5 linked regions of the Oryzias latipes genome follow. The protein of the gene in region 1 binds, or shares a complex with, the protein of each later gene. Links are inferred from orthologs where the notes say so. Each region holds a gene or a part of one and is shown in the gene's direction. Other genes may lie near its edges. The genes, in order: med24, med21, med16, ccnc and med25.

Region 1 (4,249 bases):
CTCACTTTTTAGTCTTTTAGAGGAACACCAACCAAATTTGGTCTCTGTTTTCTACTTTTTCTTTTTTACTTCTATTTGAAGTTTGTTGGAATAAATTGACTAAAGCTAAGAATTTTAATATAGTCGTCTTTTGTGTGCTTTCACTTGTTCAAAAATAAACAATACTGTTAATATTAATAACATTATTTATAGTAAATGTGAAATACTTTGTATTATAAATGTTTATTATGTTGTAGTTCTGCAGCTTTAACTGAGAAAGTAACTTGAAAGTGAAACAGACGTTATGTAATGAACCACAATGATGATACAATAATATTGTAAGATGGGGGATCACTTTTGAATAACAATAACAAGTAACATAATAAAGGTTGGAAGTGAGAAAAGCCAGAATCAGCACATGTCCTAATCTCTGAAATGAAGCCGTGAGAAAAGACACAGAGCTGCAGCCACAGTCCCTCTGATCACCCCTGTGGCAGATGGAGAGCTGTCACCACGCCTCCTCAACAGAGCCCTCAGTGTAAGGTAAAGGAGAAAAGATCATTCTCTCCAGACACACCTCCACACAAACACGCAACTTCATCAGTCCTCTAACACTTGTCCACCTAATATGCACTGATCATCTCTTTCGGTCTTACATAACTCTTGTCCCAGGACACAGACCTCACTCTAGTCAGTACATCATCTCCAGTAACAAGCAGAAAGAAGCTCTTTGTTGGCCCTGACTAATACAAGATTGGTCTGATGGAGATTGATGCAGAGAAAGGGTTCATTTTATTTTTGCAAAACAAATTTTTGTGCACACAAAAAAAAACAAAAATCGAACAAAGAACAAAAGCTCAGAAGCTTTTTTTTATTTTAGATTTTTAAATTAAAAGTGCACTGTGGGTTCCATAAATGTAAATTATTACTACATCATATTGTTATTTACTTATTCCTGTCTTCTCACTGTAAACGACTGGCCCGGGACCAGAGACGCTAATTTAAAATGACAATAAAGATTCCTGATTCCTTATTATTCTAATTTAATCATTGTGTTCATTTTGAAAATATATTTTTCATTATTCTTGCTATTGGGTAGTGATTTTCCAACTTTTTAAAAAAGAAAGAAAAAAGCTGAAATAAGCTTTTTTTTTTTTACTGCAAACTACATTTTAGAGTCCCATTCAATTTCGGATCTACTTCATAAGTTCTGTGGTTAACAGCGACATCTTGTGGTAGTAGACAGATTCTGCAGTCGAAGGTTGAGGCTTAAAAGCGAAAAACATCATTATCCAATCATCGAAAAGAATACTGGTGGAGTGTCGGGAGTAGCCAATGAGCGGCGGTGTTTTTCACAACAGCAATGGGGGTATCCTGCATTGTGGAGCTGTGAAACTAAAAAACAACCACATCTTGCGCTTTAACAAAACGAGAGCAGGTAGATATGAATTAAGTCAATAATGAAACTTTGAGAGGTATGTTCTGGCCTTTTCCGGGGACGATTCTGAGTTTGTTCGCGAAACAAGAGACGTTTAGTTTTTTTCTGTTAGCTAATATTGAGAAGGTATGCTAACAGCGAATCTAACAGCTGCATTGACTTGACCCAGTGTTTATATGTTAAAACGTGTGGCAATTTTGCTATTTTTTTGACATAAGTGAGTTAGCTATTCTCTAACAGATACGTGTGTTCGCTCCTTTCCAGCATGAAGGTGGTTAATTTGAAGCAGGCTATCCTGCAGGCGTGGAAAGAAAGGTGGACAGACTACCAATGGGCTGTCAACATCAAGAAAAACTTTCCAAAGGGAGCAACATGGGACTACCTTAACCTCGCAGGTTGTTGATTGTGATAAACAACGTCGGCGTTTCATCCTATAACATGTATGCATTTAATTTTCATTATTTTCTTTGTGTTTTCCAGAAGCTTTGATGGAGCAGGCAATGATTGGTCCATCCCCTAACCCACTCATCTTATCCTACCTTAAATATGCTATAAGTTCACAGGTTGGAAAGGAACTTTTATTTTGAAAACTGAACACACACATATATATACACATAAATGTGTATATACATAAATGTGTGTATATATATATATTTTTAAATAATGACTGTTAATGTTTCACTTTTCTAGATGGTGTCCTATGCTAGTGTGCTCACAGCCATCAGCAAGGTGTGTTTGATCATAAAAAGGACAGAAGATTCGCATTTAAATGGATCTCTGCTGCATTTGTAACCAATGTGTTTTGTTTATAGTTTGACGATTTCTCGCGGGACCTCTGTGTGAAGTCATTGCTGGACATAATAGACATGTTCTGCTGTCGCCTAAGGTCTGAATACTTCTGAGTAAACACCACTATTCTCTCCTTGTGACTTTCTCTTGTACATTTTTGTTATTTTATTTATTTATTTTTTGGACAGCAAATTTGTCAGGGTTTTAAATCTTCAATCTGCCTCACTTTAACTTGGAATTTTCAACAATTTTTATTGATATGTTTTTTTTTTAATTAAATCTTAACTGATTTACTTGTGTGCCAAGCCTTGTCTTATTGTTATTTCCCCAATACTTCACTTGCATATTGTATTTTATCTTATATTTGTACTATAGCTTTAATTGTTAATACTGTACATTGTTGTCTTCTCACTCAGCTGCCATGGCAAAGCAGAGGAATGCATTGGGTTGTGTCGGGCTTTGCTTGGGGTGGTGGTCTGGCTGCTGCAGGCCTGTGCGTGGTACTGCGAGAACCTGAGAGAGCTCGGACCGGTACCCAGCATAGAGGCTATTCTCAGAACATGTCAGGAGAGGCTTCATACCCTGATGAAAAGCACCAAGAACAGAGCTCTGGTTCATATCGCCCGATTAGAAGATCAAGGTTTGGGAATAAAATATTGAAAGACAATATTGAAATATGAATGTTATGGAAGAGAATGTAGGCATTTGTGCACACAAAGGTTATGGTCTTTGTTTGCATGTTCACCATTTGTAAGGTTTGATGTGAAATTCCTCTTCCAAAGGGTCCTGGAACAATGTGGAGCAAGCAGTGATTAAAGTTACGGAAGGTCTTGGAAATGTACCAAACCAAACATTAAGGACTTCACTGGAAGAAAGTTTGTTTTTAGTAAAAAGGTGAAGGTTCCTCAGCCACTAAGCTCTTACTCAAAAGTGTTTTAAAACATTAAAAAAAGTTAATTTTTCTTGGGATGACTCTTGACTCTCCCCAGTATTCCCAGCATGCTCTCTGTGCAGTGTGAGCTTCCAGTGCGTGCCTCCTTCCCATCAGTTCATGCCTTCATCATGCTGGAGGCAACCATGAATTTAATCGGAGAGATCCAGCCTTTGGTGGAGCAGTTAATGATGATCAAGAGAATGCAGGTGAGCTTGAAATTCATGACAAAATATTTCTATAATTTCTGTGATCTTCAGCCCTAAGTCAGAAATAGTCATATTCTTTTTGCAAATATTTTGCAGGTGAATTACCGGTAGTTTGAACATTGCAATTATGACTATGTAAAATATGTTAATTTGTAAAACTGTATTAAGAATTTACACATTTTTGCTCCTTCATGTTGACATAATCAGACCCTCTGAGCCTGAAGAGAACCATTTTTTCTTAATTTACTGTGCAATTACATTAAATTACATTCATATTTAGCTTTTTTAGCTTTGCTTTATACTGAAGTTTTTTATTTGTAATGAATAATTTACCTGCAAATGAAAGTGTCATCTCTCTATCTATCTAACTATCTATCTATCTATCTATCTATCTATCTATCTATCTATCTATCTATCTATCTATCTATCTATCTATCTCTTTATCTCTCTATCTATGACATAACAGAAAGAAGGTTCATGGTTAAATCATGTACGCTGAGCAAAACAATTATGTAACAAACATATTTGGGGTAAAAGTATTTTAAGCCATTTTTCTTCTAATTTTACCTCACAGTAGCATATTGAGAAAATTTCTCTTTGCAAATTAAAATAATTTGATTACATGAAAATTTAATTTAACCGTTGTTTCACAGTAATGGAACTTGTGTACAAAATGTTAAAAAATATTTATTTGCAACAACACATATCCATGAAAGATTTGCAATAAACTTTACATTAATGACATAATAAAAACAAAAAAGTCAAAAGCGGGGTGGAAAAACATAATATAAACTATGGATCTGAAATTTCTGACAACTTTTCTCCAGATGAAAGAACCAACAGCTGGATCTTTTTACAGTCATTTCTTTTGAATTGACTGCATCATTGCATCTCACACGGCCA
Region 2 (4,489 bases), on another chromosome or scaffold:
CTATCCCTGCAGCTGTTGGACGGAGGCACGGTTCATCCTGGGCAGGACGTCAGTCGGCTCATGAGGAAAATATTTAAAATAAAATAAAATAAAACATCAAAATCCAAGCAGAATCTTACCTGTTTCATGGCTTCTACCCTCTTGTTGAGAGATGTTGTCTGTTCGATTAACATCTCGGCTACGTTGTCATGGTTACGGAGCCTTTCTACCAAGGACTTAGCATCTGCCAGGACTTTCTCTAACGTACAGTTCATGTCTAAAGGGGAAAACATTAAAGTAAAATCGATGAGCAGGACATTTTTTAGAAAATATCAATCTGGTTTTAAAGAAATGTGAAAACTTAAGAAGAAAAAAAACATCGAGTTCAAGTCTGTAAGTAATATAACAAATTGGGCAATTTCCTTCATAAAACTGTTTTACTCTTTTGCTTTCTGTTTGTTCAGTTTTAGTGAGATAAAAACCTAATTACTGTGGTGAGTAATGAACATCTGGAAGTAAAGAGTAGTAGATCCCTGCATTTTTCATTTACTTACACATTAGCGTTAAGATACTCAGCGTCTTACAGATTTAAGATGGAAAGTTAAATGATAGAAAGTGATGTAAACAGTACAAAAAGCAGGGAAATTGGTTTTAAGCAGATTACTTTTTAGTTACAATACTTATCTTAAATCTTTGTTTAGAGTTTAAGGGAATACGTAGCTCCGTTTATGAAATGCACCCATCATGACTGGTTGAACATTCGCTGCTAAGCATCTAATTTTGCCAATGTCGTGTTTGGGTAATTCAGGTTTAAAAACACACTAAATATTTATTTTAGCAGAATTCGATGTATAACTTCTACATCAAGATTTCCTCCAGTAATAACGAGCAGGAGATGCTGCCCCATACCATCACACTGCCACCACCAAACAATGTAACTTTACCGGGTATGACCCTCCTGCTCACCCACTAAAGCAGGATGTTAACGAATGTGTCACAGTTTAAAAGGGGAAAAAAGAGGATGTCGAACTGCAGGAGATTTATGATCATGAAATATACTTTCTTATGACAAAAAAATTAAGCAAGCAGAAACAAACAGCTAATTATGTCTTTGCTTACGTAGTAGTAAAGTAGTTACAACTAACGAAGCTGCTCTCTAAATCCTGACAAATTTTCCAACAAAACATACAAACGTACCTCATAAACAGTGTACCAAAGCATGTAAAGGTGTCTTAATTTAACACTGAAGTGGTCTTACCTGAAGAGTTCAAAGTGCAACCAGAAAATAGATCTTCTTCCTGATATTTTATGTTGTAGCTCAGAATAGCAACATCATGCTTATGCTAACACGAATATCGGATTATACGTTAAACTTAAACTTTGTTTCTTTAAGACATAAAAAAATATACTAAAGTACAAAAAATGAATTTCGCAAAAGTCTCTATGGTATTCAAGTCTAAAATAACAGGTTTAAGGTTGTTGACGGGCTAACTTTCTTTAGCTATCTTGTCTTCCGAAATGACGTCAATTTCTGCGAGATTTTGTCAATGCTCTCGCGATAGTTGACGACGGACTTTTGTCAAATACAGGTAAATATGGCGGACCGGCTAACGCAACTACAAGATGCTGTCAACTCGGTAAAATAAAAATGTTAAATATTTGACAAAAATTGTGATATAGAAAGACTGTCACATATACATTTAAATATGAAATGTGCATTATATATAGGTTTTAATGGAAGTTGTTTCCTAATTTATTTACTGAGGGCGTAACATCACAGCAGCTAACAATGCTAATGCTAACTTAATAAATAGCATTACTTACTTGGTGTTTGCTGAAGCTGTTTGCCAAAATGCTGAAGTAGATTGGAATTAAAGTTGAAGACGCATGAAAGGAAGTGGAAATTATTTAAAAAGGTACCCAAACCAGGAAGTTACCCTATAAATTGTTCGTTTTGAGACTTATCCTAATCCTGCCGGTCAAAATATGCTGTCAAACAAAGTTAGAGTCCCATTTGTTCTTAGCATGCTAGCCATCCTTTAGTGTAGCTCTATCAGGAAACTCCTGAAAGCACTAAGCAGCTTGTTTGCTCATTTAGCTGGAATATTATAGGAATCATGATGTGTGGTGGTACAGGCCAACCGTTCTGTTATTGTTTAGGTCAGCCGGATGACATTTCTTACTAGCATATGGACTAAAGATATACATATGTATATAACATATGACAATATTGAACTTCAGGCACTCCAACCCCTACACTTAATCTTCATGACATTTCGAAATAAATGCCTGAAGGGCATAATACATATGATTACATGAAGAAGGAGCAAAAACCTAAAAATATTCTAACTTACAAGAAGTGTACTACTTCATAATTCTCTTTTCTCTATGAAAGATTTTAACCGTCTTAAATAAAACCAAAATCTTGCTGAAAATGCTTGAAATATTTGCATACAGCCAGATAAAGAATAATGGAAGACAATTATACCAAAAATGTTTTTAAAATGAAATGTTTAATATAATATCCATTCATTTCCAATGAGTAGAATTTCCTGCTGTGCTTTGTTATAATCCAAGCTTGATTGTTTTGACCTTTCTGTCTGTGTTTCAAACATAAAATGAATCTATTCGGGATGTGTGGTGCAGGTCGGCTTCAGCTCGGTCTGAACTGTGTGTTCTGCTTTTGCGTGGGCAGCTTGCAGATCAGTTTTGTAACGCCATCGGTGTTTTGCAACAATTTGCTCCCCCTGCGTCCTTCAGCAACATCCAGACCGCTATCAACAAGGACCAGCCGGCCAACCCCACTGAAGGTTAGTCTGACGCCGACTGTCTCTAAAGACCCACTGGGTCGCCGCCTGCTCTTCACCTTCAGTCCTCGGTTTACAGTTTCAATTCTGAATTTTCACTTTCGGAGTACAGCCTCATTTTACGTTGGGGTGGGCCTTCGATGCCGTTGGATATTGGGACATGATTGATATCAGGGGCTAGACGGGTCATTCTCTGAATTCGGTGCACATTGGTAATTGAAAATCTTACCTAAAAAATGTGTGTTTCTTAACATTACATCAGATTAAGGACTATTTAAACCTCTGAGAAAAGATGTTTTCCCACTTTAGACATGAAATCCCCCAAATTGTTAGAAAGTTTGTCACTGTGACAGTGTGTTTTGTTACGGAGTAGAATATTACGAGGTTGAAGTTGTCACGTGTCTACATTAGCTAGGATATGAAGCTACATATGGCATGAGGAAAACAAGAATTTAATACATATTTCAAAGCAATCGTTAGCTTTTTCCCAAACAATAGTAAATATCATTTATTAATTTAACAGAGTTGAAAGGTTGAGCTTGACAAAGTCAATCTGACAACAGAAACTATGAAATATGGGTAAGAAAGGAGGCTAATACTTACCTGTCTTCAGAGTATGAGCAGGAAAATATTCAGTGATGTCACTTCCTGGCTGCTGAAGAAGTTGGACTGAACTATTATTTTTTTTTAAAGGGGGATTGATAGGCTGTTACGGGTTGAACAAAACTGAGGGACAGGAATAAACGGTGAAATTTCATAAAGATTCATTTATTTTTGTCATACTTCTTTTATTTAAGTGAAACTAAATAGGCATATGTTTATGTTAGCAGAAAAAGCATGTAGTTAGTGGCTGTTTTTATCAGTTTTGCATTAGCTGAAAAGGTAACTTTGGCTTCGTTCATACTGCAGGCTGAAACGACCCAATTCTGATTTTCTTCCCCCATGCGACCTGTATCTGATCTTTTCATGACAGTCTGAACGACACAGATCCCATCTTTTCAAATGTGAACCAGGCCACTTGGGTATGTGGTCCTGAATCCAATACGTATCCGATCTTTTCAAATGCGACCTCCGTCTGAACGGCCAGGCCACATGAATCCGACCCGTACCTCATTGATACGTTCTCAAACGTCATAATTCTGCGTTGAAGTAGGCGGAACCAGAAGATAAACATCAACCATGGCGGACGATGCTGCTGAGACCAGTCAGTGGAAGGGAAGCGAGGTCACCGATTGGATTCATATTTGGGGTGACAGCTCCATTCAGGCCAAACTCCAGGGCTCTTATCGCAACCGGGCAGTTTTTGAAAATATTTCCAGCAAAATGGCCGAGCGTGGTGTTGAACCTTTCCCACCTGACTTTTTTTTCTTTCCGACTGTGGTCGGAAGCAGGGGGGGGGGATCTTCTCCAGGGCTGAAGGAAGATCCTCCTCCGGAATTAACTTCCCCGTTCGGACCCTCAGATTCTCCAGAGCGGGTTAATAAAGAGTCAATTATAGCATTTATTCTGGGGGAAGCCTTCTTTTATTATCGTTCTCCTTCCTCTGTAACACACAACATGAATGCACGCACCCGACACACTTCCGCTGCCCCCCCCCCCCCCATCCCCCCCCCCACACACACACACTCCCTCCGGCGCTCTACGCGCTCTCTCCTCTCTCTTATTACACACACAGTGCCTTCTTAAAATGATAAGATTGTAAT
Region 3 (4,475 bases), on another chromosome or scaffold:
GCGGACTTCAGCCAGAGTTCAGGCTTAAAGTCAGGGTAGTTTAAACATGCTTCCTGGAATACGCCCCCCAGGTGTTCTCACCTGACAACAAAGAAATTCAGCAGGACAGTGATGTTAATGACTTTTTTTTTGGTTTTAAGACAGATTTCCAGCCAGACCTATAACATTCTTTCATTCATTCATCATAGCAGTCTAAAAAATGTAATTCTATTAGTTTAAGAAGAGTCTCCAATGTACATGAATGTACATGCTCACCCAGTTGAATCAACGTTTTGGGACTCGTATGCCTGTGACCATGTGACGTATTTTTGACAGTTTGTTATCAAGGTAAATTTGGTATTCAAGACAAACAAGAGTCGTATTTATAACAAAGACAAATCGCATTCAAACGTAAAATTAAAATGTTGTCTTCATGTCTTTTTTTTGCAACTTTGTTTTTATGACTATGTTTCTTTTTGACAGATTTCTCACACCCTACATTCCTTTATTAAAAACAGAGAACTTATAACTAACAAAATGAGTATTAAAATCATCAAAACAGGAATATATGAGAGAAAATACATCAAATTCAAAAAATACAGCAAATTCACCGCAAAGCTGCAAATAAATGTGTAAATATGTGGGAATCAGTCTTTATTTTGTTCTGGACACCACTGGAAACACAAATTCATATGATGGTTTCTCAGATCGCCGCAGCATTTCCGCCTTCAGCGATCGCGGTGCGTCAGGAGGAGGACCGCAGAAGGCGGACATGCAGCTACTTAGTCCTGAGAAGCTGTGGAAACTCATCAGAAGTTCACAACCATCACAAAACCCTCTTCTCTGCCACTAACACAGTCTGCTCCTGGTGCGTGTGTGTGCGTCAGTCAGCAGCCGGACACACAGAGAAAGCAGTGACGTCATCGCCCCGCCTCCCCTCTGCTAATGCTTTTTCGAAATGAATATTGTGACAAGGTGCGCAGGGTGGATGTTAAAATGCAAATGCAATCCCCTCTTTGCATTTTCGTTTTAATTATGACACAGAATAAGCGGTTTTAAGTATAAAATGAAAAAGCATTTTGAAATATTGCTTTTTCTTTTTAATTTTGAGTCAAAAAATGCAGCTACATTTTGAAAATTAAAAAGCATTTCTGTTAATCCATTTTAATTGTCAAATTAGACATTTCTAAATGAATTATGCTACACATTTACCAGGGACCTTTTTGAAAATGAAATGTCAAATACCATTTTCTTTATCATTTTAATTAAGTGACAGAAAAAGCTGGGTTGAAGTATAAAATGAAAAAGCATTTTGAAGTATTGCTTTTTCTTTTGAGAGTGAGAATTGAAAATGTATTCAACTTAACTTTGTATTTTGCTCCTTGTTAATAAAGTTACAGAGGGAAAAAAAGGTTTACCTCGGGTTTAGCCAGACTAAAATAGGATCATAAAAGTATTTATTAGAAACGTTGTAGAAGACACAGTGTGGATTTTTAATTACTTCAATGTTTTTACTTAAGTTGAAAGCTTTGTAATAAATTGTCTGGGCCTAATTTTCTTATTTCGTACTCTAAACATATTTTTCAGACAGGCAGCTGTATAGGCACACATATACGGGGGCCTGACACGCGCCAGTCTCTGCTGCGGTCTTTGTTTCTTTCAAAGTGCCGTTCTTTCCAACTCGTATTTATGTTTTCTTTCTGAAGTCGTTCTTAAAACTTCTTTCAGTTTTGGCTGTTAACTTTTGAAAGCCAGTTTCAAATAGGTGAGTTCATCATAATAGACTAAGTCAGCGGGTTTTTCTTTTCATTTGCATCACGTTTTTTCTGGAGTTTTGCTGCTGGGTTTGTTTGTAAAGAAAGTCAAGAAAACCGAACTGTTGACGAGCAACACTTTTCTTTTGGAAATTCAAACTTGCATCGTTGTTCATAAAAACTTGGGGTAAACATCCAGAAGACTGATGTGTTTCGTGGTGCTGTCATGTGAGCAAATTCAAGTTTATGGTAGAATTTAAATAAATGACCGAATACATACAAGGTTTACTTACAGTGGGGCAAACAAAGTATTTAGTCAGCCACCAATTGTTTAGGTTCTCACAATTCAAAAAATGAGAGAGGCCTGTAATTTTAATCATAGGTAAACCTTAACTAATATGAGACAAAATGAGTTAAAAAAAACAGAAAATCACATTGTCTGACTTCTAAAGAATTTATTTGTAAATTATGATAGAAAATAACTTAATGATCAATGACAAAAGTTCATTTGCTGGAAATAACAGCTGTGACAGACTGGTGACCTGTCCAGGATGCCCCCAGCCTTCGTCCGCGAGTGGCTGGGATAGGCTCCAGCAGCCCCGCGACCCCGAGAGGGATAAAACAGATTAGAAGATGAATGAATGAATGAATGGCAATGACAGAACGATTGATCTGCGTAAAGGAAAGAAGGAATGGAGCAGTGTATGGTCAGATTTGGAGGGAAGCCTCCTTCCATCAGCATTAAAGATGAGACATGGTTGGATCTTTCAGCACGACAACGATCCTAAACACACGTTGCCCGGGTAACAAAGGAGTGGCTTCATAGGAAACATTTCAAAGTCCTAGTGTGGCCTAGACAGTCTCCAGATCTCAACCCCATAGAAAATCTTTGGAGGGGGTTGAAAGTTTGTGTGGCCCAGTGACAGCCCCAAAACATCACTGCTCTAGAGGAGATCTGCATGGAGGAATGGGCCAAAATACCAGCAACAGTTTTTGAAAACCTTGTGAAGACTTACAGAAAACGTCTGACTGCTGTCATTGTCAACAAAGGGTAAATAGCAACGTATTGACTTGAACTTTTTTATTGACCAAATACTTATTTTCCTCCATAATTTACGAATGAATTCTTTAAAAATTGGACAATGTGCTTTTCTGTATTTTTTTCAGATTTTGTTTCTCATAGTTGAGGTTTTGGCTCCATTGACCATTAAACTCAATGTAAATTCAAAACTAGTTTTGAATTTAGTTCCTGTAGTGAAGGAATGGAGATTGGAGATTCACAAATTTAATCTGCAAACGTTTTAAAAATATTTTAGTAAAACCTCATAAATGGTCTGAACTTTCTTCACTTAGATTTTTCAGCTTCATTATATTGAGTCAAATATAAACGGTCCGTCCTTCAATGTCTGTGTTTCTAACGTGAACTGATAACTGATGGCTATTAATGTCATGCTACTCACTACTTTTGTACTCTCCAAATGACACAAATTCCCATCTAACATTACCAAGTCACTTTGTTGATCCTCACTTTCAACTTTTAAGTTTACATTGTAAAATTCTCTAGTCATCATTCTGTGTCATATTTGTTTAATATTGTGACTTTATTCATGTGGCGTATGCTGCTGACCTCTTGGCCAGGTCACCCTTGAAGATGAGATCTGATCTCAGTGGGTTTCACTTGGTTAAAAAAAAAAAACCCACTGTGATGGAAATAGTGTTTTGGATGTTTTAAGAATCCTACCCTGACTGGGTATGTTTTCACAATAGATCAAAATAGGATTAAATGGAAACTTACTAAATATAATGCTTGACATGGTTAATTATTCTGTTCCTTAACAATGATCTAACCTCTAACCTGCTTTGAAATACAGATGTGTTCACTTAGTGACAGATGTGTTCCTCTGTCTCCCATTCAGGTCAGGTGTGGACGAGGCGTCTTTGTTCCCCTTTGGACATGGAACTGGCATATGTCTGTGACTGGGAGAAGCGACAGAAGAACGCTCACTGTCCATCCATACCAGTAGTGTGCTCGTGGTCCTGCAGGAACCTGGTGGCGTTTACCACAGACCTGAAAAGTGACGACAATGAGAAGGGTACACAGACACACACGCACACGCACACACGTCCAACTCTTGGTCCCGGCTACCTGAACCTCTTTTTCAGATGTCAGTCACATGATCCACATCATCGACACTGAGCACCCCTGGGATGTCTTTTCTATCAACTCTGGTCACACTGAGGTCATTTCCTGCCTGGAATGGGACCAGTCAGGTAGGCTTTACTTTAGTTGACTTTTTTCAGAGTATTAAACTGTTATTGTTTTGTCAAGTGCTTGTGTTCTTGTGTGTGTAGGATCACGGTTGCTCTCTGCCGATGGCGATGGTCAGATTAAGTGCTGGTCCATGACTGATCACTTGGTAAACAGCTGGGAGAGCATCCTGTCTAGCTCTTTGGATAGAGATCCCATAATTGCCCTTAGCTGGTTGCATAATGGAGTCAAACTGGCTCTGCATGTGGAGATGGTAAGGCACCTTCTACATAGTAGAAAAGCCCCAGAACCAGTAAAAAATTGACACGACATCTTCTGCTTTCAGTCTGGTTCCACAAACTTTGGAGAAAAGTTCTCCCGGGTGAAGTTCTCTCCTTCTCTCACCCTGTTTGGAGGAAAACCAATGGAAGGCTGGTTAGCAGTAACAGTTAGCGGTTTGGTCTCCGTGTCATTGCTAAAGCCAGGCGGCTCCT
Region 4 (4,485 bases), on another chromosome or scaffold:
ACCTACCCAGTTGCCACCGGGCTTTAATACTTTTCTTAAATAAGCAAAATTCCCAAGAGGTAAGCACCAAACACAGAAAAGGTTTTAAGGTTTGTCATAGTGTGAACGTGACAGCCAAGCAAAAGCTGCATATTCGACTTGTAAATCTTTGTATCTTGCCTTTTCAATATAAACTGTCAGACGATCATTGAGAACAACCATCTCCTGCTTCTCATTGGTGCGTGTCAACTTGAAGGCCTGGTTTTGTGCTGCAGCCACATCCAGATCCATCTTATTCCCCGGTTCCAGGGATGAACCTACACAAAGGACCCCCATACTTGAACTGCTGCAGGAGCCCAAAAATAATGGTGTAAGTGGCTTTGTGTTGTGGGCTTTTTGTGTAGCTGGCTGAGGTGATGACCTACCTTGTCAGTTTTTGCTTGGTGAGTGCTCTATGCCCCCCCAACTTCCACCCGCCACTTCGGTTGAAGCTGGCTGAGCGGTGGCGGTTCTCTCTCCTGGTGGGAGAAGGACTGGAAACCCGGAGGTGGGATGTTGAGGCAATGTTGTCCTCAAAACAACGGCGGTATGAAGACATCCTCTCCGGGCTTCGGCTCATGGTGGCTTTTAAGTTGATGCAACTGTAGTTGGAAACTGGAAATGGAGCCTTTGCTTCTTCTGTCAGTCTGAGGAGGTGGGGTCTTTATACACTTCTTGGCCCTTCCCCTAACACTACAGTGAAATGCTGAACCCTTCCATACCAAGTATGAATGCCTGCACAGGCATCTATCAACAACAAGCCAAATAATTTGGCCTATAGGCTGTTGAAAGAACATTGTGCTTCGAATGATGAAGGACTTAATTAATTTTGAAGTAAAAGCTGAATTAAACATTACTTTCAAATGTTAAGTACAAGCAAAATGAACAATACAAACTGATTTTTAGTTGTCTTAATTACAATAAAAACAAGTAAAACATTTGAAAAAACAGAACACCACTGACTTCACGAAAGGCTAATTGAAATTAAATAAATACAATAGAATACAATTTCCTGTTTTTCTATAGGGCTACGTAATTTGTTTAGACCAAAGAAAAGATGTCTGCAATCGCTGATCGCTAAATCGCTAAAAGTCAAAAGTCCTTAATTGCTGCTTTTTGTTTTTTTAATATTAATAGACTATATTAGGTATAACCCTTTACACAATGTAGAATAACTATAGCCAAAATAAAATAATTAAAAAAAAAAACAACTTGTAGTTGACTTAACCACAAACAAATATGGTATAAAAGCTCTAGTTACCCAAATGCTTTAATATTCAATTGAGTTTAGGAGATAATCAATGAACCCTTTGAAATAAAGGATGCTATGTTTATTTGACCACTTTCTTTATTTCCTTTTTCCCTTCTGTTGCTTGAAAACCTCATATACTAGCCTCATCACATCTACTTTAAACGTCTAAACATGGTAAATGGCATCTTAAACAATTAGTTTTATAAATGTTTTAATCATGCAAAACATGTGAGTATACCCTCTTTGAAGTAATCGTGTTTCCCGACATTTACAGGAGACTGCGGAACCAATCTTTGGGCTCGTCGGAACGTTATTCGTGATACACCAGCTCTGCCACTTTAATTACTTTTCTCGCTGTCTCCGCTCTTTTGTTGGTTAAAAAAAACACAATTTTCCTTTCTGTAAATTTCTACCTCAACTGCAGTGATGGCGGGTAACTTTTGGCAGAGTTCTCATTAGTGAGTTTTTGTTAAAATAATATCGACGTTGTGTGTGTTTTTGTCGTAATCATCAGCCGCTTCGCTTGTGAGGCCTAGCTAGCTGCTATTTTTGTTCTGCGTTGAAGCTAACAGTTTACTTATAGCATTGTGGTGTAAAAATAACACTTGGGGAACACACTGTAACTAAAAATGTGGACTTTCTTTCCTTTGAGCTCCAGCAATGGTTCTTGTTTTCGTTGTGTTTTGTTGCCGTCACGTCAGGAGCTTGTTACTGTTAGTCAAGTGAATTTGACCCGTTCAAACGTCTGTATAAATTTATCATATAAAGTAATCTTGCTTATCTTTTAAAGTCTGCAGTGGGTCTTGGACAAACAGGACCTCATAAAGGAGCGCCAGAAAGACCTGAAGTTTCTCTCGGAGGAGGAGTACTGGAAGCTTCAGATTTTCTTTGCAAATGGTGAGTTTTTTTTCTAATACATTCATGCAGGTTTTGGGTCTGTTTCCGGGTCTGTTTGAAAACATGAGAAAATCTTGAATAGTCACGAACAAAACCTAAATCACACACTTCAACTAATGTTTTTCATTTGGTATTTTTCAGTTATCCAAGCTCTGGGCGAACATCTGAAGCTGCGCCAGCAGGTCATTGCTACTGCGACTGTGTACTTTAAGCGCTTCTACGCCCGGTAAGGAGCTCGAAACGCTTTTTCCATAAGTTAAGCTGTTGGTATTTTACACGTTTGTGCTGACAGCTCATGGAGGGTAAAGTGTGAACATATTGGGCAGCCCTAATGAGATTACATCAGTGTTGATGACAGTTTCATTTCTGCAGAGCATCAACAGCTTTTGTGTCCGGGAGCGGATAAGTTGGTCTGGTTTATTGAACCCTGTAACAAAAGGCTGTCGACATGATGTATCAATGAGTAAACAAAGGAATGTTTACTTTTGCTGACATTAGCATAACAGTTAGGAAGGCAAAAAAAACAAAAAAAAAACTTTCCTCTTTTGTTTTAAATTCTTTCCCTTAACTATACTGTGCTTACTACCCATGTAGCCATGATTATCTTTGGCTACTCTTACTTTTTGACGTCGTCAGCATTTCTTTCCATGATCTGTTTGTTTAATATTTAAATACCTTGTGTCATTTTGCAGGTATTCTCTGAAGAGTATAGATCCGGTGCTCATGGCTCCCACTTGTGTGTTCCTGGCCTCTAAAGTTGAGGTATAAATTTGGTGGAATCATCTTTAACATTTCATGTTACATTTCATTTTTAATCATAAGTGAGACACATTTTAGGGTCTTTAACTGCTTCTTTAGTACACACGATAATCTGTTTTGTATTGCTTATTTTCCTGTAGGAATTTGGAGTCGTGTCCAACACCAGATTGATCTCAGCCGCCACCTCTGTATGTAAGTGACCCACATTGTGGATCTCAAATTTAAGTTTTCCCTGTTTTCATTTGGAGTTTCCAGCAACACAAATTTTTTTTCTTCTGTTTTTTTGTAGTAAAAACAAGATTTTCTTATGCCTTTCCAAAGGAGTTTCCTTACAGAATGAATCATGTGAGTAAAACACAGTGGAAGTAATCCGATTACGTCTGTGATTTTATGAAAAAGTTAAGAATCATGAACAAATCTGACGATGCAGAAATGTGACGGTAAACAGTAAATGCCATCAAGGTTTACTGGTTTAAGTTTCAAGAAGGTGAGGTCACATCAAACTGCTTCCTCTGCAAAGTTATTTATGTGCTGCATTGCAGCTTACCGAGAAGCCTTCAGACTGTATCACAGTGTTGCCACATTACTGCCTATCAGTGCGTTAGATTCCTCAGCTAATGTTCACACTCTGCTGACAAAAAAAAAGTCAGTCAGGGGGCTTGCTGCTCAATGCTTTTGCCTCGCAGATCTCCAGAGTTTCCAGAACAAGACGGCTCTGACGTAATGCTATATAAGCTATAAATTACGGAGGGGGGGGGGTTCAGACGGCAGAGATTGAGGTAGCAGAGGGCCGTGACTCGTAAACATCATTCATCTTGTGGACATTGGACACTTAGTAAAAGTGTGACAATGATGAAGTGCGAAGCTGTTAAAAGCAAACAAAGTCATCATCTGTACAGCAGGAGGTCAAAGGCCAGTCTGATGACGAGACTTAATAAATAAAAATGAATTCACAAATTTTGGGGGGCATTTTCAAAGTGAAAACATGATTAAATGTCTTTTTGAAATAATTCTAAACCTCTTTTTTTTCCCCCCAGATTCTAGAATGTGAGTTTTACCTTTTGGAGCTAATGGTGGGTGGAAATCTAGATAAAAAGGATGAGTTGTTTCATAGAGAGAAGAATTGATCCTTGATTGGCTTAATTTTTCAGGACTGCTGCCTGATTGTGTACCACCCCTACAGACCTCTGCTGCAGTATGTGCAGGACATGGGGCAGGAGGACATGCTGCTGCCCTTAGCATGGTACGTTCTGCCTCGTTTGAACAAAACCCATTGATGTTAGCTTATTTTTCCGCTGGAAGGCTTTGCATTGTTTTCTGCCTTTACCAGGCGAATAGTGAACGACACGTACAGGACAGATCTGTGTCTGCTCTACCCTCCCTTCATGATAGCTTTAGGTAAGAAATGCCTCTTAGGTTTTGAAAGTAGAGCAGTTTAACTCACATTTCAAAAAGATGGATTAATTACTGCTTCTGTTCCTCCATCAGCTTGCCTACATGTGGCCTGTGTGGTGCAGCAGAAAGATGCCAGGCAGTGGTTTGCAGAGCTCTCTGTGGAC
Region 5 (3,714 bases), on another chromosome or scaffold:
TTGATCTCATTAAAACTCAAAGGTTTTTGTGAGATCTGTTTTGTTTTTAGCTTCGACCTTTTCCTTTGGTCGGTTTTTTAGTGCACCAAAACCTCTAAAGAAACAGGAAAAACCTGAGGATTTCCTGTAGGTGAGCTCTAAAGCGCAGCTTGAATTCAGTTTCTACTGTTTGCATTCCTGCAACATTTTTTGATTGGACAGAGGAGCTCAGAAGTAGGTTATGTCCCGAAGCCCGGGCCCTGTCGCATAATTAAAGCCGGCTCCCATGTCAGGGCCTTAATCTGCCCTGTGGCCCTCTGCAGGCGGGCTGCGTCCACTTCCCCCACACCACCTCCCCCTGTGAAGTCCGCGTGCTGATGCTGCTCTACTCCTCCAAGAAGAAAATTTTCATGGGCCTCATCCCCAACGACCAGAGCGGCTTCGTCAACGGCATCCGGCAGGTCATCACCAACCACAAGCAGGTCCAGCAGCACAGAGCGGTGAGTGGCCAGAGAGGGCGGGAGGCTGGGAAAGGATTTTGGGGGTGGGTGGAGCTAAAAGATGTGATAATGAGGAGGATTTAGAGAGGAGCTCCAGGGAGCTGAGCAGCTTCTTAGCAGTCCGCTGCATTGTTACTGACATTTCATTTTTCCAGCACGGCAGCTGCTGCAGACTTTTTCAAATCAAAGTTGGTGTGAAGGAGAACGGATGAACATGTCAAAATAAAAGCACATTCATTCAGCCACATTGTGCAATGATACTTGTATATTTTATATTGTGATTAACCTTAATGCCAACATTTCAAAATACAGTGGCCCATCAATATATTGAGGTTCCCTTTTGGCTAATTTTTTTATTTGCAATTTACACTTTTTTCTTCAAAACAGTGCACTGGGTTCTGCATCCTGATTGGCTTTTGACCTTGTCAATCAATCTTTGTTTTCCTTTTAATAATACTGGACGCATTTTCTATGAAGATTTGAATTTTAAGATTTCAAACAAGGTTTTTGTCTGAGAAAAGTCCCTAAAGTGTGAAGTGAGGAGTTTTACAACAATTAGTAATCTTTCTTTGTAGATGTCAGTTATTGCAGGTTATTTTTAGAATGTAACCCTGCAATAAATATGGGACCACTATATTTCTTTATATATAGAGTTAAAAATGGGGGGGTATCAGAATTAGTCAAAAAATTGTTTAAAATCCCCGTCTGGGTAAACCATAGACGGTCATTTTAGCAAAAAAAATCCTTCAATTTTCAGGTAATGAAGGAAAGAAAATGTTATGTTTCCGTTGAAAGTTTTCTATCTTCAAATCCTGATAAGGGAATTATAAAAAAAAATAATAAATACACGAATGTTTCATGTTCAACCCCCCTGAAGTAGAAGCTCCGCTGCCGCAACCGATTACGGAAAAATTTCAGTGAAGTCTCTGCAAACCGGAAACCCCAGAGAGGAGGTGATTGTGAGAGTCTCCTCAGGATTAACACTCCACTGCATCACGGATGAGAGGAGCTGCATGACTGGGAAACAATGCAGCATCCACACAAGCTGCACATTTCCCTCCACAGGAAAGATGCTCTCCTCAGGTTTAAGAGTTGCATCAGGTTCTTTCTCGTCCTCTGCTATCATAAGTCGTTGTTTGCTGATCCTGCTTTATGTCGTTGTAAAGCAGTCTGGTTTGTGTTTCATCACACGGTCTGTTTCGCATTGCTAACGAGAAAGCAACCTTAATATGATTCAAATTTAGAGTTGGGGCCAGTTGTTGAGGTTTCTGTCAGGAAAGTTCCTTGAACAACATTTAGGAACTGCATGTTCTTTTCTCCAAAGCGATGCTGGATCGTATGAGTTACAGCAGCTGAATCATGAACAGAGAAACAAGCTGCTGCTCTGTGGCTTCCTCTAAAGGCCTTAAACGCTCTGCTGCCGTCAGTCAGAGAACATGCCATGTATCTGCAAAAATCCCAGGGTGATTCAGCGAGACGGATGGCTAAAAGGGATGTTTCATCACACTGCTTTTTCCCAGAGTCCTATTAGTTTCTCTGTGGTGTGAGAAGCCCCCTCCTTCCCCTGTTGTCTCCTCCTCAGTGGGGAGGCGCACAGTTCACAACAGCAACTGCAGAGGAGAGGGAGCTCAGGAGCAGCTTCTAGACGGGACTTTGCAGATAAACTCTTTTTTTTTTTTCCCCAAATAATGGCCGCTTCCCTTTCTGCAGCCTGCTGAACAACAACAGGTTTTCTCCTCCGTTTATGCTGCTGCAGTGATTCATGTTCAGCCGCATGTGGACGGTGTATATCCCCCCCAGATTTACTTCATTTTAACCGTGAAATCCGGGGTGGCAAACACCTCTGCAGGTGGTGCTTCAAGTGAAATCTCTTCTTCCCTTTGTGTTTGCTTTTGCTGCCCTAACAAAGAAATGCAGAATGGAGCCTCACGCACCTTCAGCATTCTTGACTCAGTAAATGCCAATTACACAGAGCAAATATGCAAATTCTAAATATACATGATCTACAAAGTCTATTTATTCCTGCAAAAGAAAGGGTGTTTTTTTTTTTAAATAAACATTTTCAAACTAAAAATCTGTTTGTGTTTATAATGTTGAGTAAGGATGAGATATGAGATACAGTACTCCAAATCCTGTTTTTGGCGTTTTTCTGATGATGGAGGACATGTATAAAGAGAATTTAGCTGAGTATCTCTTTATACAAATTGTTATTAATAATGAGCAAAAAAATGGCATTGAAAGAGATCGTAGAAAATACGCTGGGCGGGCCACTAGCTCCCTGCTCTGAACCCTCAGCATCAAGGAGGGGAAGGGGGGCGGGGTTGCTCTGTGCCAACTGTCCTGCCCACATGAATTTGAGCTCCATGCCAGGAATGTATGTGTTGAATTCTGTCTCACACATAACCTTGTAATAACCTGCACAGAGAACACAATTAAAAACAAAAAAATAATTGATTATTAACATTAAGAAATAAAACATAAGATTTGTTTTTCTCTAGTGAAGTTTAAAAAGTCAAGATTTTCTGTAAATAAATTTGAAATCCAGTTTCTCCTTTTTCATCATTTCACTTTTAAGTTTAGGAAAATTCTTTTGATTTTAACTTTTGTGAATGATTCCGATTTTCAAATTAAGAAAATAAAGTAAAAAGATGATCCAACTTTGAAGAAGTTATTCTCACATTGGTCTTAATTTAGTAAAAGTAAAGACCTAAAGAAAGACAACGTTGTTTTTTTCTAAATTCCGTTAATCCGGTTGTGTTTTTCTCAAAGGTTTTTCTTTGAAGTCATCAAACATGAATCTCAGTCTCAGCAGCTGGTTTTGGAGGCTGGAGCTCCAAACGTTCCTCCTCTCCAATGATGAAGCAGCTTTGTGTTTTGGTCACAAATGATCAGTGATTGATTGTTCAGTCTTTCTGTTGTTTTTCTGCTGTCATCTGAAATCGGGAATGACGAGCATCCAACAGGGAAAAGGATGAAAATGACCTAAATGTTTGTGTTTTAGTCTGACAGTTTACTGGCAGAGCGTGATTGGATGATTCGATTTTCTACTTATTGAATGGCATCATAATTTACTGTACATAAAGTTAGTTTTCTGTTGTTGAGTATTTTTAGCAACCAAACAATGGAAAAACATGAAGGGAGACTCCAAATATTAGATGCCTGGAAGACTAAATTTGGATTTAACTCTTTATTTCCAACTCTAGAAAAAGTCCCTGATTGCTGTTAGATATAAGAA

The links.
Region 2: med24 (region 1) and med21 share a complex: the UniProt entries of both Homo sapiens proteins name them as parts of the mediator complex. The link is inferred for Oryzias latipes from reciprocal best matches to the Homo sapiens genes MED24 and MED21.
Region 3: the proteins of med24 (region 1) and med16 are in contact, whole or in part, in a cryo-EM structure (PDB 7EMF), measured with the Homo sapiens proteins. The link is inferred for Oryzias latipes from reciprocal best matches to the Homo sapiens genes MED24 and MED16. Residues at the interface, in NP_055630.2 of Homo sapiens: Ile539, Leu540, Asn541, His544, Pro545, Glu593, Arg629, Met630, Leu631, Gly632, Leu633, Asp634, Glu635, Asp676, Gln679, Gln680, Thr681, Ala682, Pro702, Pro703, Lys704, Arg705, Pro706, Ile707, Lys708, Glu709, His737, Met738, Gly739, Gly740; in NP_005472.2 of Homo sapiens: His29, Cys30, Pro31, Ser32, Arg52, Asp54, Asp55, Gln56, Glu82, Asp102, Val126, Glu127, Gly128, Asp129, Pro130, Val184, Ser185, Leu187, Thr203, Glu204, Ser205, Cys207, Arg208, Leu209, Arg210, Gly211, Arg212, Asp232, Gly233, Ser234.
Region 4: med24 (region 1) and ccnc share a complex: the UniProt entries of both Homo sapiens proteins name them as parts of the mediator complex. The link is inferred for Oryzias latipes from reciprocal best matches to the Homo sapiens genes MED24 and CCNC.
Region 5: med24 (region 1) and med25 share a complex: the UniProt entries of both Homo sapiens proteins name them as parts of the mediator complex. The link is inferred for Oryzias latipes from reciprocal best matches to the Homo sapiens genes MED24 and MED25.

The regions. Positions count from the first base shown.
Region 1 is NC_019877.2:9,579,999-9,584,247, forward strand, and holds the start of med24 (mediator of RNA polymerase II transcription subunit 24), read left to right. Parts: upstream 1-1,297; 5' UTR 1,298-1,417; intron 1,418-1,423; exon of another isoform or gene 1,424-1,543; intron 1,544-1,681; 5' UTR 1,682-1,682; coding exon 1,683-1,812; intron 1,813-1,897; coding exon 1,898-1,980; intron 1,981-2,107; coding exon 2,108-2,146; intron 2,147-2,229; coding exon 2,230-2,303; intron 2,304-2,622; coding exon 2,623-2,846; intron 2,847-2,988; coding exon 2,989-3,100; intron 3,101-3,195; coding exon 3,196-3,346; intron 3,347-4,249. UniProt on the Homo sapiens protein: Component of the Mediator complex, a coactivator involved in the regulated transcription of nearly all RNA polymerase II-dependent genes.
Region 2 is NC_019881.2:3,908,813-3,913,301, reverse strand, and holds the start of med21 (mediator of RNA polymerase II transcription subunit 21), read left to right. Parts: upstream 1-1,551; 5' UTR 1,552-1,574; coding exon 1,575-1,616; intron 1,617-2,674; coding exon 2,675-2,789; intron 2,790-4,489. Other genes in the region: fgfr1op2 (FGFR1 oncogene partner 2), read right to left, coding at 120-254. UniProt on the Homo sapiens protein: Component of the Mediator complex, a coactivator involved in the regulated transcription of nearly all RNA polymerase II-dependent genes.
Region 3 is NC_019862.2:1,605,181-1,609,655, forward strand, and holds the start of med16 (mediator of RNA polymerase II transcription subunit 16), read left to right. Parts: upstream 1-1,586; 5' UTR 1,587-1,744; intron 1,745-3,649; 5' UTR 3,650-3,687; coding exon 3,688-3,826; intron 3,827-3,896; coding exon 3,897-4,004; intron 4,005-4,085; coding exon 4,086-4,255; intron 4,256-4,327; coding exon 4,328-4,475. UniProt on the Homo sapiens protein: Component of the Mediator complex, a coactivator involved in the regulated transcription of nearly all RNA polymerase II-dependent genes.
Region 4 is NC_019882.2:15,128,057-15,132,541, reverse strand, and holds the start of ccnc (cyclin-C), read left to right. Parts: upstream 1-1,570; 5' UTR 1,571-1,696; coding exon 1,697-1,728; intron 1,729-2,060; coding exon 2,061-2,167; intron 2,168-2,308; coding exon 2,309-2,393; intron 2,394-2,859; coding exon 2,860-2,929; intron 2,930-3,066; coding exon 3,067-3,118; intron 3,119-3,215; coding exon 3,216-3,271; intron 3,272-3,963; coding exon 3,964-3,999; intron 4,000-4,077; coding exon 4,078-4,169; intron 4,170-4,256; coding exon 4,257-4,324; intron 4,325-4,414; coding exon 4,415-4,485. Other genes in the region: glial fibrillary acidic protein, read right to left, coding at 160-325, 405-598. UniProt on the Homo sapiens protein: Component of the Mediator complex, a coactivator involved in regulated gene transcription of nearly all RNA polymerase II-dependent genes.
Region 5 is NC_019866.2:3,594,636-3,598,349, reverse strand, and holds part of med25 (mediator of RNA polymerase II transcription subunit 25), read left to right. Parts: intron 1-302; coding exon 303-479; intron 480-3,714. UniProt on the Homo sapiens protein: Component of the Mediator complex, a coactivator involved in the regulated transcription of nearly all RNA polymerase II-dependent genes.